2 linked regions of the Pelodiscus sinensis genome follow. The protein of the gene in region 1 interacts with the protein of each later gene in a biochemical or structural test. Links are inferred from orthologs where the notes say so. Each region holds a gene or a part of one and is shown on either strand. Other genes may lie near its edges. The genes, in order: PTPRN and SNTB2.

Region 1 (7,975 bases):
AGCCCCCCAGCCTGCCCCACAGCTCCTCTGTGCCGGCCAGCCCCCCAGCCTGCCCCACAGCTCCTCTGTGCCGGCCAACCCCCCAGCCTGCCCCACGGCTCCTCTGTGCCAGCCAACCCCCCAGCCTGCCCCACGGCTCCTCTGTGCCGGCCAACCCCCCAGCCTGCCCCACGGCTCCTCTGTGCCGGCCAACCCCCCAGCCTGCCCCACGGCTCCTCTGTGCTGGCCAACCCCCCAGCCTGCCCCACGGCTCCTCTGTGCCGGCCAGCCCCCTCAGCTTGCCCCACGGCTCCTCTGTGCCAGCCAGCCCCCCAGCCTGCCCCATGGCTCCTCTGTGCCAGCCTGCCCCTCAGCCTGCGCCATGGCTGCTCTGTGCCAGCCAGCTCCCCAGCCTGCCCCACAGCTCCTCTGTGCCAGCCAGCCCCCCAACCTGCCCCACAGCTCTTCTGTGCCAGCCAGCCCCCCAGCCTGCCCCACAGCCCCTCTGTGCCAGCCAGCCCCCCAGCCTGCCTCACGGCTCCTCTGTGCCAGCCAGCCCCCCAGCCTGCCTCACGGCTCCTCTGTGCCAGCCAGCCCCCCAGCCTGCCTCACGGCTCCTCTGTGCCGGCCAGCCCCCCCAGCCTCCCTCACGGCTCCTCTGTGCCAGCCAGCCCCCCCAGCCTCCCTCACGACTCCTCTGTGCCAGCCAGCTCCCAGCCTGCCCCACGGCTCCTCTGTGCCAGCCAGCTCCCCAGCCTGCCCCACAGCTCCTCTGTGCCAGCCAGCCCCCCAGCCTGCCCCACGGCTCCTCTGTGCCAGCCAGCCCCCCAGCCCAGCCCCACGGCAGCCAGACAGAACTCCGGTCCAGCCCCGTGGTATGAACAGGGCCCACAGCACCCTTGTGCCAGGCTCTGAAGGGTCCAAGGTCACTCCCTGGGGAGCCAGCAAGGTTTGGCCCCTCTGCTCCCGAGGGGAGGGGAAGGGCCCCCAGTCTGCAGGGGGGCGCCGTGGGGATGGGGCCTGGCAGGAGCCTGCTGAGCCGTGGGCCACAACCATGGATTTGAGCCGCATGCGGGTCCCAGGGCAGGAAGATAAAGTGCCGGGCGGCTTCAGAACTGGCACCTCCTCCCCCCACCCCCCCGCCTGCCCCAGGGCTCCCGGGCAGGCGCTAAGCATGCTGGGAGGCGCCTTCACCCCTTGGCTGCCCACTCTGTGCCCAGCGGGCGGGGGCGTTGGGGCCCAGAGCACTCCCCCACCAGAGCCCGGCCCGGCCCCACTCGGTCTGCACCCGCCCCCCCATCCCAGGCTCCACGCGCCCGACCCATGCTCGCGAAGCGCCCTGCAGCTGCGCCCCAGCCCCACCCCCCGGCCACAGCCCCGCCCCCCCTGCCCTGCCGCCTCCTCCGGCTCAGGGTCTCGGCGCCTGCGTCTCGTACGAGCCACCTGCCTGAGCTGCCGGGGGCTCGAGAGGCCGGGGGGCCCAGCTCCTGCCCTGCTTTGCAGCCCCGCAGGATGGGCAGAGCCAGGCAGGGCCAAGCAGAGCCCCTGGGAGCCCCGCCCAGCTGGAGGGGGACGGGGACACCCCTGCCCGAGCAGGCAGGGTGCTCAGCCAGCGTCTCCGGCTCCCTGCCAGGGAGGGGCTCCGGATCGGGCCCTTTCAGCGGCAGCAGGCCCGGGGGAGCGGGAAGGCCGCTGCACCGCACGCACAGGCACCAAACGGCTGCCGAGGCCCCAGGCAGGGGTGCAAGGGGGAGGCTGCCAGCCGCTGGCCCCACGGGCTCCAGGGACCTTGTCCAGCAAGGGCAGGACTGGCCTGTGCCCCCTCTTGGGGAGGCGCCCACTGGCCCCCAACCTGGCGCCAGGGGAGAAGGGAGATGGGCCCCCTCTGTGTGGGAGGGGCTCAGGCCACCTTCCCAGCTGCGGGGACCAAGGGCAGGGGGCCGCTCGCCCCCCCAAAGCAGGCGGGGGGGAGGGAGGGGCGCCGGGGGGAGGGGGCGGGCTGGCGCAAGTGGAGAAGAGGCGTTTCCCCAGCACCGACGGGCAGGGACCAGGGACCAGTGACGTCTGCAGCGGAGCAGGAGGAATACTGCCTGGCACAGGAGCGGGGGGAGAGCAGGGGGGCTGTGAGCCCTGTGACGTGCCTGTGACAGGCAGCCACGCAGAGGGCAGACAGCACCACCCCCCCGGGGGCAGCGGGGTCCTCCTAGACCCCCAGGATGGGCAGGTTCACCCCCAGCCTGTCTGCTCCCAGCCGCGTTCCCCCTTCCCAGCTCCCCAGCAGCACTGCCCCTCCAGCTGCCCCCCAGGAGCAGGACCACGGTTTCCAGGTGCAGCCCCCGGGCTCAGTCAGGCCTGGCCAGGGTGCAAACACCAGGTGCCCCCGTCCCGCCGCCCTGCCCAGCCTGACCCCTCGCTGCCTGCTCCCCGACGGGAAGGTAAGAGCAGTGCCGGGAGGCTGGGGGTGCAGCCCTGGGGCTAGAGTGAACCCCACCTCACGCAGCACCCCCCAAAGCCAAAGCCAGGGGTGCCAGGCAAGGGGCAGGAGCCACGCGCGGCAGGGGGCAGTGCATGGCAGGGGGGGCAGCTTCCCCCCCAGCCGCTGTAACCGGGGCCCGAGCAGCAGCCGCCCATGCGCAAGGGGTCCAGCTGCGAGGGCCCCAGACAACAACCAAGCTCCACTCCCACACAGGCGCCAGATGCTGAAATCCAGCCCCCAGCAAGACAGCCCCCCCCTGGCCAGCCCGCCCTCCCCATGGGGATCCCCCCAGATCGATACCCCCCATGGGAACCCCCCCAGACCGATACCCCCCAGCCCAGCCCCCCCACGGGGACCCCCCAGACCGATACCCCCCTCAGCACAGCCACCCCCCGGGGACCCCCAGACCGATACCCCCCAGCCCAGCCCCCCCACGGGGACCCCCCAGACCGATACCCCCCAGCCCAGCCCCCCCACGGGGGCCCCCCAGACCGATACCCCCCCAGCTCAGCCCCCCCACGGGGACCCCCCAGACCGATACCTCCCTCAGCACAGCCACCCCCCATGGGGACCCCCAGACCGATACCCCCCATTGGGACCTCCCCAGACCGATACCCACCCAGACCAGCCCTCCCCACGGGGACCCCCAGACCAGCCCTCCCCATGTGGACCCCCCAGACCGATACCCCCCTCAGCACAGCCACCCGCCATGGGGACCCCCCAGACCGATACCCCCCATTGGGACCCCCCCAGACCAATACCCCTCCAGACCGATACCCTCCATGGGGACTGCCCAGATCGATACCCCTCCAGACCGATACCCCCAGCCCAGCCCCCCCACGGGGACCCCCCCAGACCGATGCCCCCCCAGCCCTCCCCATGGGGACCTCCCCAGACCGATACCCCCCCAGCCCTCCCCATGGGGACCCCCAGGCCGATACCCCCCAGCCCAGCCCCCCCCATGGGGACCCCCCCAGACCGATACCCCCAGCCCAGCCCCCCCATGGGGACCCCCCAGACCGATACCCCCAGCCCAGCCCCCCCATGGGGACCCCCCCAGGCCGACACCCCCATCCCCCGGCCGCCCCTCACCGTGGGGTCCGGCGCCCCCGGCCCGCGGCAGGCGGCCGGCCACGAGCAGGAGGCAGAGAAGCGGCCGCAGCAGCCGCCGCCCCATCCCGGCCGCTCGGCTCCGCTCCGCACCACGCCGGGCCCGCAGCCCAGCGCCGCCCGCAGCCGCCGGGCCGCCCGGCCACGCCCCCACCCGAGGAGCCAATCACAGGCCGCAGTCTGGACACGCCCCTTGCGGAGCCACCAATCGCACCCTGCAGCCAGGACACGCCCCCAACAGGGAACCAACCACCACGCATGTCTGGGACACGCCCTCCAGGTAATCTAAATGAGCGGGACACGCCCCCTGCCAATAGCCCCGCCCCTTTGGGATGCACCAATCACCGTGAGAGCCCTTCCACAGGGGACCAACCGCGTCCCCCAAAATGTATTAACCCCGCCCCCTGAATCACGCCCTCGCCAGTTGCCCCAATCACTCTTACACACAGGACACGCCCCTCTCTGAGGAGCCACGCCCACTGCAGATGACACCAACCACAACCCAGGGGGATGGCAGGTGCCTACCAGAGTCCCGCCCCCTGTACAACAGACCAATCACAGCCCTGCCCCGACACACCCTCACACCAGGTGGGCCAATAGGACGAGTGTGTCTGGGCTTCTAGGAGCTGGCACGTGCCTGGTGGCCAATGTCCTAGGAACCTGGGGGGTGAGGCAGCTAGTGGGGCAGGATGGGCAAAAGGGGGCAGGACAATGCAGTGAGGCGGGGGGTGGGGCAATGGGGCAGGGCAGATAATAGGACAAGTGCATGGCAGTGGGGCAGTGCAGACAATGGGGAAGGGCAATAGAGCAGGCGGGGCAATAGGGCAGGGCAGTGGGGCAGGGCAGATAATAGGACAAGTGCATGGCAGTGGGGCAGTGCAGACAATGGGGAAGGGCAATAGGGCAGGTGGGGCAATAGGGCAGGGCAGTGGGGCAGGGCAGATAATAGGATAGAGCTGGGCAAGGGAGCAAGGCAATTGGGCAGGGCAGACGATGGGGCAGGGCACAGAGGCGGGGCAATGGGGAAGGGCAGGGCAATGGGGTGGGGCAATGGGACAGGGTAGGGCAGTGGGGTGGGGCAGGCAATGAGGAAAGGCAGGGAGTGGGATGAGGGCAGGGCAGGGCAGTGAGGTGGGGCAATGGGGCAGGGCAGGGCAGGGAGTGGGATGAGGGCAGGGCAGGGCAGTGAGGTGGGGCAATGGGGCAGGGCAGGGCAGGGAGTGGGATGAGGGCAGGGCAGGGCAGTGAGGTGGGGCAATGGGGCAGGGCAGGGCAGGGAGTGGGATGAGGGCAGGGCAGGGCAGTGAGGTGGGGCAATGGGGCAGGGCAGGGCAGGGAGTGGGATGAGGGCAGGGCAGGGCAGTGAGGTGGGGCAATGGGGCAGGGCAGGGCAGGGAGTGGGATGAGGGCAGGGCAGGGCAGTGAGGTGGGGCAATGGGGCAGGGCAGGGCAGGGAGTGGGATGAGGGCGGGGCAGGGCAGTGAGGTGGGGCAATGGGGCAGGGCAGGGCAGGGAGTGGGATGAGGGCGGGGCAGGGCAGTGAGGTGGGGCAATGGGGCAGGGCAGGGCAGGGAGTGGGATGAGGGCGGGGCAGGGCAGTGAGGTGGGGCAATGGGGCAGGGCAGGGCAGGGAGTGGGATGAGGGCGGGGCAGGGCAGTGAGGTGGGGCAATGGGGCAGGGCAGGGCAGGGAGTGGGATGAGGGTGGGGCAGGGCAGTGAGGTGGGGCAATGGGGCAGGGCAGGGAGTGGGACGGGGCAGGGCGGGGCAATGGGGCAGACAGTCACCAGCTGGCAAGCATGGCAGCTCAGTGCAGGCTCTCACCTCGTCTTGTGGGGTCTGGCCTCTGGGAGGGGGTCCCGGGCATTTGCCGAGCTCCCGCTGAGCATCGCCTGCCCCCCCGCCCGGGCCCTCGGTGCAGCCGGCGCCTGCGCCTCCCCCACCTGTGCAGAGCACAATGCGCCGAGTGGCACAGCCAGGCCCCTGCCAGCGCCCGCACGTCCAGGCCTGGCCCCTCGCCGAGCCCCCGCCGGCCCCGCCCTCCAGCATCAGCTCCTGGGCCTCCCTTTGCAGGGCCTCGCTGCTCCGCCCCGGGCTCTGGCTCACCCCTGGGCTGCTGGAACCGCTGCCACAGGCCCAGAGACCAGCCCCGTTGCTGTTCTCACACAGGCACCTGTGCTTCCCCCGGGCCATCCGGGCTGCCAGTACCTGGGTGCCTGGGCTGCAGGGCCCTCCCTGCCCTTAGCCCGGGCAGGCCTTGTCCGCACTGGCAGGGGTCACCTCCGCTCGCCAGCCACTGGCAACACCAGCCAGCCCTGCAGACCTCATAGACCCCTGCAGCTTAGCCAGGAGCCCCCACTAATCCTTGAGCCCTGTGAGTAACCGGCTGGAGTGCCCAGCCCCTGGGCCACTGAGCGCCAGGCCTGCCAGCTGCCAGGGACCCTCTGGTCATCTTCCCGAGGCGCTGGGCCCTCCGGCCTGCCAGAGACCCTCTGGTCACCTCCCCAAGCGCCGGGACCACCAACCCGCCAGGGACCCTCTGGTCACCTCCCCGAGCACCAGGCCCGCCAGGGACCCTCTGGTCACCTCCCCGAGCACCAGGCCCGCCAGAGACCCTCTGGTCACCTCCCCGAGCACCGGGACCACCAACCCGCCAGGGACCCTCTGGTCACCTCCCCAAGCACCGGGACCACCAACCCGCCAGGGACCCTCTGGTCACCTCCCCGAGCACCGGGCCCGCCAGAGACCCTCTGGTCACCTCCCCGAGCACCGGGCCCGCCAGGGACCCTCTGGTCACCTCCCCAAGCGCCGGGACCACCAACCCGCCAGGGACCCTCTGGTCACCTCCCCGAGCACCGGGCCCGCCAGAGACCCTCTGGTCACCTCCCCGAGCACCGGGCCCGCCAGGGACCCTCTGGTCACCTCCCCAAGCGCCGGGACCACCAACCCGCCAGGGACCCTCTGGTCACCTCCCCGAGCACCAGGCCCGCCAGGGACCCTCTGGTCACCTCCCCGAGCACCAGGCCCGCCAGAGACCCTCTGGTCACCTCCCCGAGCACCGGGACCACCAACCCGCCAGGGACCCTCTGGTCACCTCCCCAAGCACCGGGACCACCAACCCGCCAGGGACCCTCTGGTCACCTCCCCGAGCACCGGGCCCGCCAGAGACCCTCTGGTCACCTCCCCGAGCACCGGGCCCGCCAGGGACCCTCTGGTCACCTCCCCAAGCGCCGGGACCACCAACCCGCCAGGGACCCTCTGGTCACCTCCCCGAGCACCGGGCCCGCCAGAGACCCTCTGGTCACCTCCCCGAGCACCGGGCCCGCCAGGGACCCTCTGGTCACCTCCCCAAGCGCCGGGACCACCAACCCGCCAGGGACCCTCTGGTCACCTCCCCGAGCACCGGGCCCACCAGGGACCCTCTGGTCACCTCCCCGAGCACCGGGCCCACCAGGGACCCTCTGGTCACTGTGACGTAGTGGGGGGTTCCTTGCTGGCTACAGCACGGCCCAGCAGGGCAGGGGGTGAGTCATTATGCAAAGAGGGTCTCTCAACCTGTCTGACCAGCTACCCCTCAGGGAGAGAATCAAAGGAAGGTGGATGCCGCCCCTGGCTGGGAGAGAGTTGGTTAGTTTCTGTCTGGGAAGCAGGGGAGAAAGAGCTAGGGAGGGGGCTGGGATTGTAGGGCCCAGCCACCCCCCATCTCAAGGGGGGGCTCTGAGGCCTCTTAGCCCCCTTCCTGGAACCAGATTCCATCTGTGCTGGGCTGTACCCTGGAGAGGCAATAAACTCCCCTGTTCTACTGGCTGGTGGGGTCTGTTCATGCCATTACAGGGGTGCAGGAGTTGGGAAACCCCAACGCACCAGCACAGTCACCTCCCCAAGCACTGGGACCACCAGCCCGCCGTGAACCCTCTGGTCACCTCCTCGAGTGCTGGGACCGCCAGGGACCCTCTGGTCACCTCCCCGAGGCGCTGGACCCTCCGGCCTGCCAGGGACCCTCTGGTCACCTCCCCGAGGCGCTGGACCCTCCGACCTGCCAGGGACCCTCTGGTCACCTCCCCGAGGCGCTGGACCCTCCGACCTGCCAGGGACCCTCTGGTCACCTCCCCGAGGCGCTGGACCCTCCGACCTGCCAGGGACCCTCTGGTCACCTCCCCGAGGCGCTGGACCCTCCGGCCTGCCAGGGACCCTCTGGTCACCTCCCCGAGGCGCTGGACCCTCCGGCCTGCCAGGGACCCTCTGGTCACCTCCCCGAGGCGCTGGACCCTCCGACCTGCCAGGGACCCTCTGGTCACCTCCCCGAGGCGCTGGACCCTCCGGCCTGCCAGGGACCCTCTGGTCACCTCCCCGAGGCGCTGGACCCTCCGGCCTGCCAGGGACCCTCTGGTCACCTCCCCGAGGCGCTGGA
Region 2 (8,381 bases), on another chromosome or scaffold:
GGGGGGGGGGGAGACACCCATAATTTATCACCCTTCTGAATGGAGCTTTATGGTTTTCTTTCTTCTATCATCTTCCAGATAATTATTGCCAATGATGGGTCAGCTTATAGACTCATAGACTTTAAGGTCAGAAGGGACCATTATGATCATCTAGTCTGACCCCCTGCACAGTGCAGGCCACAGAATCTCACCCACCCCTCTTAGAATAATCCTCTCATCTATGTCTCAGATATTGAAGCCTTCAAATACTTTGAAGGCCCCAAGATGCAGAGAATCCTCCAGCTGTGATCTGTGCCCCATGCTACAGAGGAAGGCAAAAAACCTCCAGGGTCTCTGCCAATCTACCCTGGAGGAAAATTCCTTCCCGACCCCAAATATGGCGATCAGCTAAACCCTGAGCATGTGGGCAAGACTCATCAGCCAGACACCCAGAAAGTTTGCTACGTATTTCACATTTCTATAGCTAAATTCCTCTTAACACCCTCTCAATAGGCCTCCAATCTCCAGCACCTCTCTCAGCACCATCTTTGCAACAGCATGAATAGACTTTGCAAGAATTTTCATAAAACAAGTTGACAAATAAGCATTGTCAGAGCCAGAAAGTTCATAGCTGAGTTCAAGTACTTTCCCGTGAAGCTATCCCAGCTTCTTTCAGACCATTCCTTCCAACCAACAGTCCAAAGTCGTGAGCCCCAGAGCTCAATGCTCTTTGCAGAATGCCCGCCTCTCCCATTCAAGCAATCAGCAGTTTGATGCCAGTTACTTTACAGACACAAATACAAATCCATCACTTAATACTGCAACTTGCTTTTCTTCATGAACATTTTAGACCAGCAATGATTCTGCTTTAGGGAAAAGATTATTCCCACAAAACCAACATATCCAGGGATGTTAAGTAGCGGTTAATTATCTAATTGATAAGTTGATAGAATTTCCATCGACTACTTAATTAGTCGATGGGGGGGTGCTCAGTACCCTCCCCCCGTGGGTCTGCAGTTTAAATGTAGTAGGAGTCAGGCTCATGCTTCTTCCTCCCTTGCTGCCTCTGATACAGAGGGGAAGGGGAAGCAAGTAGCACCATGACTACCCGATAAGCCTAAATTTATCGGGTAGTTGACTACTCGGCTTACATCCCTAATCCACATGGGCCTCTATTTTAAGCGAAGACTGTTTTAAAGAGCTTCCACCTCCACGTAAACAGAAAACTTTGGCCTGTTGCTTTGCAGCCCAGCATTTAGATTCAGTCTGTTTTAGTAGCATTGGAGCACATCGATCACAAATGGTACTGCTCAAGCACCAGTGGACAAGACCGTACAACCGCATTCTCAGTTACAGCTATGGGGCTTCTAACCACAAATACTACCTTATCTGCTCAATTGCACATGTTGCCTCACTCAGCAACTGCAGAGCAGCAGCAGCAGCATCTCTACTGGAGGAAAAGCCACAACAAGAGACCTGAGAATCAGAATTGCACCATGGGTGAGGGCTTTTTGCAGCCAGCAGATGTTGCTGCTAGCCTGTGAGCCAGGCAGTGAACGATTCCCCTAAGAAAGGAAGGGAGGAGCCAGATTACATCTTCACTGGCAGCTTGTGGCCCCGAGTTACAGGTCATGAATTTTCCCAAAACAACAGACAAATCTAGGCATGGACTCCCACCCACTACTGTGAGAACACAAGCACACGTCAATACAGATCTTCAAGCGCGAGGGGACAAGTTCTCACGCAGGATGCGGGCTTGAGTCAGGACATGTCCCCTCTAACAGCGGGCAGCTCAGAGAGTTGAGTTAATGCCCATCACGCCCGCCGGCTGCTCAGAGAGGACAGACTGGAAGAGGAGGGCCACTCTCCGCTCTCAAAACCAGGACCATGCAGCACTTTAAAGATGAACAAGATGGTTTATTAGGCGATGATGTGAGAAAGTGGGTCTGGCCCACGAAAGCTCAAACAGTGGCATATCGTGCCAGTTTTCTTCCACTATTTGATCTGAGGCAGTGGGTCTGGCCCAGGCGAGCTCGTCACCTAATAAACCTGCCTAGTCCTGTGCTGTTCAGCCCGACCAGCCTAACCCGGCTGCGTCTCTATCACTCTCCTTTCTCAAGCTCTCTGCGCCCGGCTCTCGGCGCCCGCACGGGGACACCCCCGTGGTGCGGGGCCGCCCGCGGGGAGCCAGTGTCCGGGGCTCGGAGGGGGGGAGCCCGGGTCGCGCGGGGGGCCCTGAGAGACACGCCTCCCCCGCCCGCGGGGAGCTGGTGTCCAGGGCTCGGGGGGGGGGGCCCTGAGAGACACGCCTCCCCCGCCCGCGGGGAGCTGGTGTCCAGGGCTCGGGGGGGGGGGGCCCTGAGAGACACGCCTCCCCCGCCCGCGGGGAGCTGGTGTCCAGGGCTCGGGGGGGGGGGCCCTGAGAGACACGCCTCCCCCGCCCGCGGGGAGCTGGTGTCCAGGGCTCGGGGGGGGGGGGGGGGCCCTGAGAGACACGCCTCCCCCGCTCGCGGGGAGCCGGTGTCCGGGGCTGGGGGGAGGGGCCGGGTCGCGGGGGGGCCCTGAGAGACACGCCCCTCCCGCCCACGGGGAGCCGGTGTCCGGGGCTCGGGGGGGGGGGGGCCCTGAGAGACACGCCCCTCCCGCCCACGGGGAGCCGGTGTCCGGGGCTGGGGGGGGGCCGGGTCGCGGGGGGGCCCCGAGAGACACGCCCCCCCGCGGTACCTTCCAGCAGCACCTCGCGGCCGGCGCGCTTGAGCGCCTGCACGGCCTGGTCGTGGGTGGCGTCGCGCAGGTCGGTGCCGTTGACCGAGAGGATGGCGTCCCCCAGGCGCAGCGCGCCGCAGCGCTCGGCCGCCAGCCCCGGGAAGATGCGGGAGATGAGCACGGGCATGCGGTTCTCGCGCCCGCCCTTGATGCTGATGCCCAGCCCGCCCGCCTCGGCCTTCACCACCCGCACCCGCCGCACGCCCGGCGGCGCCGGCTCGGCCGCGGGCGGCTCGGGGCTGCCGGCGCCGTTGGGCAGCCCGTTGGGGGGCTCGGGCGGCGGCGGCTCCGAGGTGAGGCTCAGCGCCTCGCCGCTCAGCTCGGCCGCCACCCGCACCCAGCGCTCCCGCAGCAGCAGCTCCAGCAGCCCCGCCTTGGCGGCGCGCGTCCACACCGCCATGCCGCCAACCGCCCGCCCGCCCGCCGCGCGCCGGCCCGCTCAGCAGAGGCGGGCGCCGCCCCGGCCGCGGGCGAGTGCGCCCGCCCGGCCTCCGTCCCGCGCGCGATTGGCGGCCGGCGGCCAGAGGGGCGGGGCCTCGGGGCGGAGCCCCGCCCCCGCCGCAGCGCAGGGACGCACCCCCCCCGGGACGGGCGGCGAGGGGCGGGGCTTACGCCTCGAGCTCCTCCCACGGAGTGGGCGGGGCTTCTGCGGCTCCGCCCTCTTTCCCAAGGCCAAGGGGGTTGAGAGCCATAGACACCCCCCCCCCCCCCACACACACACACACTCCGTCCAAAGGGGTCTGCACAGAGCTTGGGCCAGCAGCACCCTAGCACCAGGGGCCCCTCCGGTGCCCTAGCTCAGCCCCGCCAGCTGTGCCCTCAACCAGCCAATCCAGCCCCAGCCAAGGCAGTAAGAACCAAACCCGACTGGGTCCAGAGCCGGGGATGGTCTGTCTGAAAAATACTATTGTCCTTGGGGCACTGTGGCGGGTGGCAGTGTAGAAAAAGCCCAAAGCTGGGGCATGGTTTGGGAACAGTTCCATCCAAGGCTAAACTGTATTAATAACAGGGAAAGGAGGGAGGCGAGTACATCCCTAGGTCCTCCCCTGCTGCAGGACTAGTGAAGGCAAAGCCCCGTGGGGAACACCAACACCCAGCTTTCCAGATCCCCTGCCTTTGCTTCACTTTCTTGCTCCAGGAAAAAGGTAGCCTGATCTCCCCGTTCCCCGCTGCAGCCCTGAACAAGGGGAGCAGAGCCAGGGCTAGACAGCGGGCGGCAGCACATCCAATCTTAAGGCAGAAATTCGGTTACAGGCCCGCTTGAGATTAGTACAGCCCCACCAGCCCGGAGCTTGCTGAATTCCTGCCTGAGGCTGGGCCTTGGCTACTGATCCCTCAGAGCCCTATTTTTAACTCAAGCAGATGTACCCACCAATGATCTCAGACTCCCCACAACACCTACTGAGAGGGGAAGTACAACCAACGCCTGCCAGCCCTTTGCCTAGCACCCTGTGAGCACAGGGTTGGGGGCAGGTGGTTCAGGCAGCAATAACCACACGAAGTTGACACCCCTTTCTCATTCATGAAAATGAAAGGGAATTGTGAATTAGAGCAGCGTGAGGCAGGACAGACATTTTTGCTTTAGAAATCAATTGGCTAAAATATTAGGAAAAACTCAGTTCAAGAAGTCACATATCAAGATTAAACTACATTTCCCCCCACCCCCGTGTTCTAGCTCTGTCTACTGCTCAAACAGCAGCAGCTGCAAGTTTTATGTGCACAAGCCAGTGTGTTGCACGTCAGACCTCTACTAAATATAATACACAACAAACAGCCACAATCAGTGCAATGTAACTTACTGGGATTTGGGAAGACTATAAGACCAGGTATCATATGTAACTAGGTAGTTTGACAAGGGCTTTGGAATGACCAGAGACAAGTTCTAAGAATGTAAAAGTGAAATGCATGGAGATGCCTATTTCCTAGAACTGGATGGGACCCTGAAAGGTCATCAAGTCCAGTCCCCTGCCTTCACAGCAGGACCAAATACCATCCCTGACAGATTTTGCCCCAGATCGCTAAATGGCTTCCTCAAGGATTGAGCTCACAATGCTGGGTTTAGCAGGCCAACATTCAAACCAGTTATCCCTCCCCCCTAAGAATGAGGTTGCCTATTCCAGAACTACCAGCAGCACAGGGGGAATCTAATTGTTAACACAATCGCTGTGATCAAAAAACACCAACTGCACTTTGGTAATGGGAGGTTTCCTGCTGCTCAGATGTATAAATGATGCTAAGGGGTAGCAGCCCACAGCACAAGGATGGGGGGGGAAGGGGGCTGCTCTTCTCCATAGAACAACCTACACTCCAGAACAATTCTTTGCACTGGGGTTTTCTGCTCCCAAGCAGGATGGGACAGAGGCCTGATCTGATTCACCATTTAGTATAAATGCTCTCCCCGCACGTGAGCTTTTGCCTTGAAATGGGAACTGCAGAGCAACTGAAATGTTGCTTAATTTCACCGGAGCTGCTGAAATCTGCTGAGTTGCTATTCACCGCGACCTGGTGAATTAGTTCTGATTGAGAGCTCTCAGCCTTCTCCTCCAGGCGATGATGCTGTAACTTGATCCAGGGGTTGGCCTTTGTGACAGCAGTACCAAGAGGGCTGCATAGGAATCACAAGTATAAGGGACAGCCCGGTGCTTTGTTAGAAGGTGACATGCCACAGGATTTCAGCAGGAGGGGGATTACAACAGCCAAAACGAGCCTCTGAACAGGAGCTGAATGGAAATGGCAGAATAGCCGAACGTGATGGGCGCAACCACATAGATGCAGACTGGAGAAGTATCCCCATGGGGGGAGCAGTCATGCAGCCCACAGATCACTCCCCAGCTACAGCCAGTGGTCTCCCTCCAGGGATCAGCAGGAAAACCCCAGCTCAGTGATTGAGGTTTTGCAAGTCTGAGCACACCCCCGTTCTTCACGTTTTGTGAATTAACTTCCTTTCCTGCTAACACGGACCAAGCTGTAACAAGCTGACAGCCTAGAGGGAGCCGCCCCCGCAGCCCTGCACCGCTTTCAAGCCTGTGGTTTCAGTTCAGAAACATTCACAATCAATTTTGCAGCAGCTTCGAATGACAAACACAGGGCTGGGAGGGCCCTGGAATGGTCACCTAGGCCAGTTCCTGCGCTAAGGCAGGGCCCAGTAAATCTTATGGGGAGATCAACTGAGTCTCCCTGTTTCCATGAGCCGTAACCACCTAACAGCTAAGGGAACGGTGCCCCCTGCTGGCGCAGCGTTAGAGGGGCCTGCAAAGCAAGCTGCAGGGTCCTCGGAGCCAGAAAGCCTGGTTGTGCACCACAGTTCAAAGTATCACTGGTAAAGGCTAAGAAAACACAGAGCAGCAGCTCTCAGACTGCTCCCGACCACTGCTTGTCCACAGGAGTATCTTCTGGAGCCGGCACAGGAAGGCAGCAAGAAGCAAGTGGGGCTAACTGATGGCAGAGGGGGGCAGGCCGCGTGGTCATGGAAGCGGGGTGCTCACACCACACTGTAAGGCCCAGCGCACGCGGCAAACGCAGATTCAGAACTGTGGGAGTAGAACAAGGGCATCCAACATGGAGCGGGAAGAGAAAGGGGGCCTGGAGGAGAAGGGTCATGGGGGTACAGGCTGCAGGGGCTGTCAGGAAAGGCCAGCAGCAGGCAGGCGGTGAAAGCAGGTGGCTACAGCATGCACACAAGTCACTGCCTGCGTGCGCAGCACCAACATCTACTCCACACACTCACAAGCCGGGCTGGAACGGTTCGCTCAGCTTGGCTTAGACAAGCCCCTCGGTGTTCCTGTAACTGCCTGCAGCGATGCTTGGGCTCGGATTTAGACGCATGCCCACGCATGGGGCACGCTGGGACTGCACACGCAAGCGGCCAGCTGGGCCCTTTGCACATGCAGGTTCTACGTTTTGAAGCTGGGTCCCCATGCCTGGCTGGGCACCTTCGGGATTTGAATCATGGCATAAGCAGTGAAATCAAGCATCTGCTTTCTGTAAAAGGGCCACCAAACCAGTAACATGCACCAGGAACTGCCTTTCAACTAGGGGCAGGAAAGGTTAACTGGTAAACATTACCCATACCAGGTGCTGCTTACTGGTCATGCTTAACCAGTAGGGGCTGGTCCAGCCTGGCTCCAGTGGGCGAGGGGAGGCACCAGGGCTGGACATGCTTTCCCCCGCCCCCGATCAATTGCTTAACCGGTCAAACATTATGTTTAACCGGTTAACTAATTAAACGGGATTTAACATTTCGGCTACGTCTCGATTGGCATGATTTTCCGCAAATGCTTTGAACGGAAAAGTTTTCCGTTAAAAGCATTTGCAGAAAAGAGCGTCTAGATTGGCACGGATGCTTTTCCGCACAAGCACTTTTTGCGGAAAAGTGTCCGTGCCAATCTAGACGCGGTTTTGCGCAAAAAAGCCCCGATCGCCATTTTCGCCATTGGGGCTTTTTTGCGGAAAACAGTCCTGTGCTGTCTACAGTGGCCCTCTTGAGCAAATGATTTGCGCAAGAGGGCTTTTGCCCGAACGGAAGCAGCATAGTATTTCCGCAAGAAGCACTGATTTCAGACAGTAGGAAGTCAGTGTTCTTGTGGAAATTCAAGCAGCCGGTGTAGACAGCTGGCAAGTTTCAACTCACCCTTCTAGTTTCAACTCACCCTGGTGCAGGCCTACTGTACACAGGTACCAGCTAAAAGAAATCCGGTGTGGCCGGCTACCGATCCCCCTCGAGCTAGTTGCTGTTTACACACAAAGAGCGGAGCATGAAATCTGGCTGGACGCAGGGTTTTGGCAGTGGCCAAAGTGGCTGTTTGTTGGTATGAATCTGGGTGAGAACTGACCACATCTGGCAGAAGCCAACGGGCAGCCCCCCCCCCATTCTCCCAGCGGGCAGCCCCCCCCCCCATTCTCCCAGCGGGCAGCCCAGCAGCAAGCCACCGAGGGGCGGGTGGCCAGGTCGAACACGGGCTGAGGTGTCAAAGGGGGTTCCATCCCCCAGTTAGGCTGCAGGGCTTTGGCACAGGGATTGCCTCTCCCGTGACATCCGCACAGAGCCGGGCTCCCAGGCCCCGCGAGCGATGGGGGCGAGAAGCGTTCCTGTCCGGCCTCAGGACCAGCCGCGCGGCAGGGAGAGCCGCCAGCATCCGGCGCAACGAAGGCCGTACTGACTGCAAGCCTGGGGCCTGCCCTGAGCGAGAAGGGGCCACGTTGCTGTAACCCTCCAGGAACGGGCCCTGGGGCCAGGCCAGCCTCTGCGGCGGCGAGAAGCCCCAAGGGGCAGGCGCCCATCCCACATCCCTTCTCTGGGACCCAGCCCTAGAGCCGTCGGGGCTGTAGGAAGGCAGAGGGAGAGTCCACAGCACAGCCGAGGTTTATTACTACCGGCGTCCCCAGCAGCAATAGTGCAGAGTGTCTGTGGCGCTTAGGTGCCAAACTTCTTCTGTTGGACAGGGGGCGGCAGCTGTGTCTTGATGTCCATCAGGGGCCGCTCCACCACCACCAGGCAGCCGTCCTCCAGCAGGTCCACAAACAGCAGGGGCTGCAGGGCAGGAAGAGGGGGACATGCAGGGGAGGTTTCAGGCCAGAAACAGCTGGGCACAGAGGCGTCTCAGAGGACACCACGCCACGGCAGAGAGGCCCGGCAG

What was found.
Region 2: the proteins of PTPRN (region 1) and SNTB2 form a complex in vitro, tested with the Homo sapiens proteins (2 studies listed by BioGRID and IntAct). The link is inferred for Pelodiscus sinensis from reciprocal best matches to the Homo sapiens genes PTPRN and SNTB2.

What each region holds. Positions count from the first base shown.
Region 1 is NW_027465982.1:217,816-225,790, forward strand, and holds the start of PTPRN (receptor-type tyrosine-protein phosphatase-like N), read right to left. Parts: upstream 3,705-7,975; 5' UTR 3,633-3,704; coding exon 3,548-3,632; intron 1-3,547. UniProt on the Homo sapiens protein: Plays a role in vesicle-mediated secretory processes. Required for normal accumulation of secretory vesicles in hippocampus, pituitary and pancreatic islets.
Region 2 is NC_134722.1:1,963,166-1,971,546, forward strand, and holds the start of SNTB2 (beta-2-syntrophin), read right to left. Parts: upstream 3,224-8,381; 5' UTR 3,146-3,223; coding exon 2,704-3,145; intron 1-2,703. Other genes in the region: UTP4 (U3 small nucleolar RNA-associated protein 4 homolog), read right to left, coding at 8,159-8,275. UniProt on the Homo sapiens protein: Adapter protein that binds to and probably organizes the subcellular localization of a variety of membrane proteins. May link various receptors to the actin cytoskeleton and the dystrophin glycoprotein complex.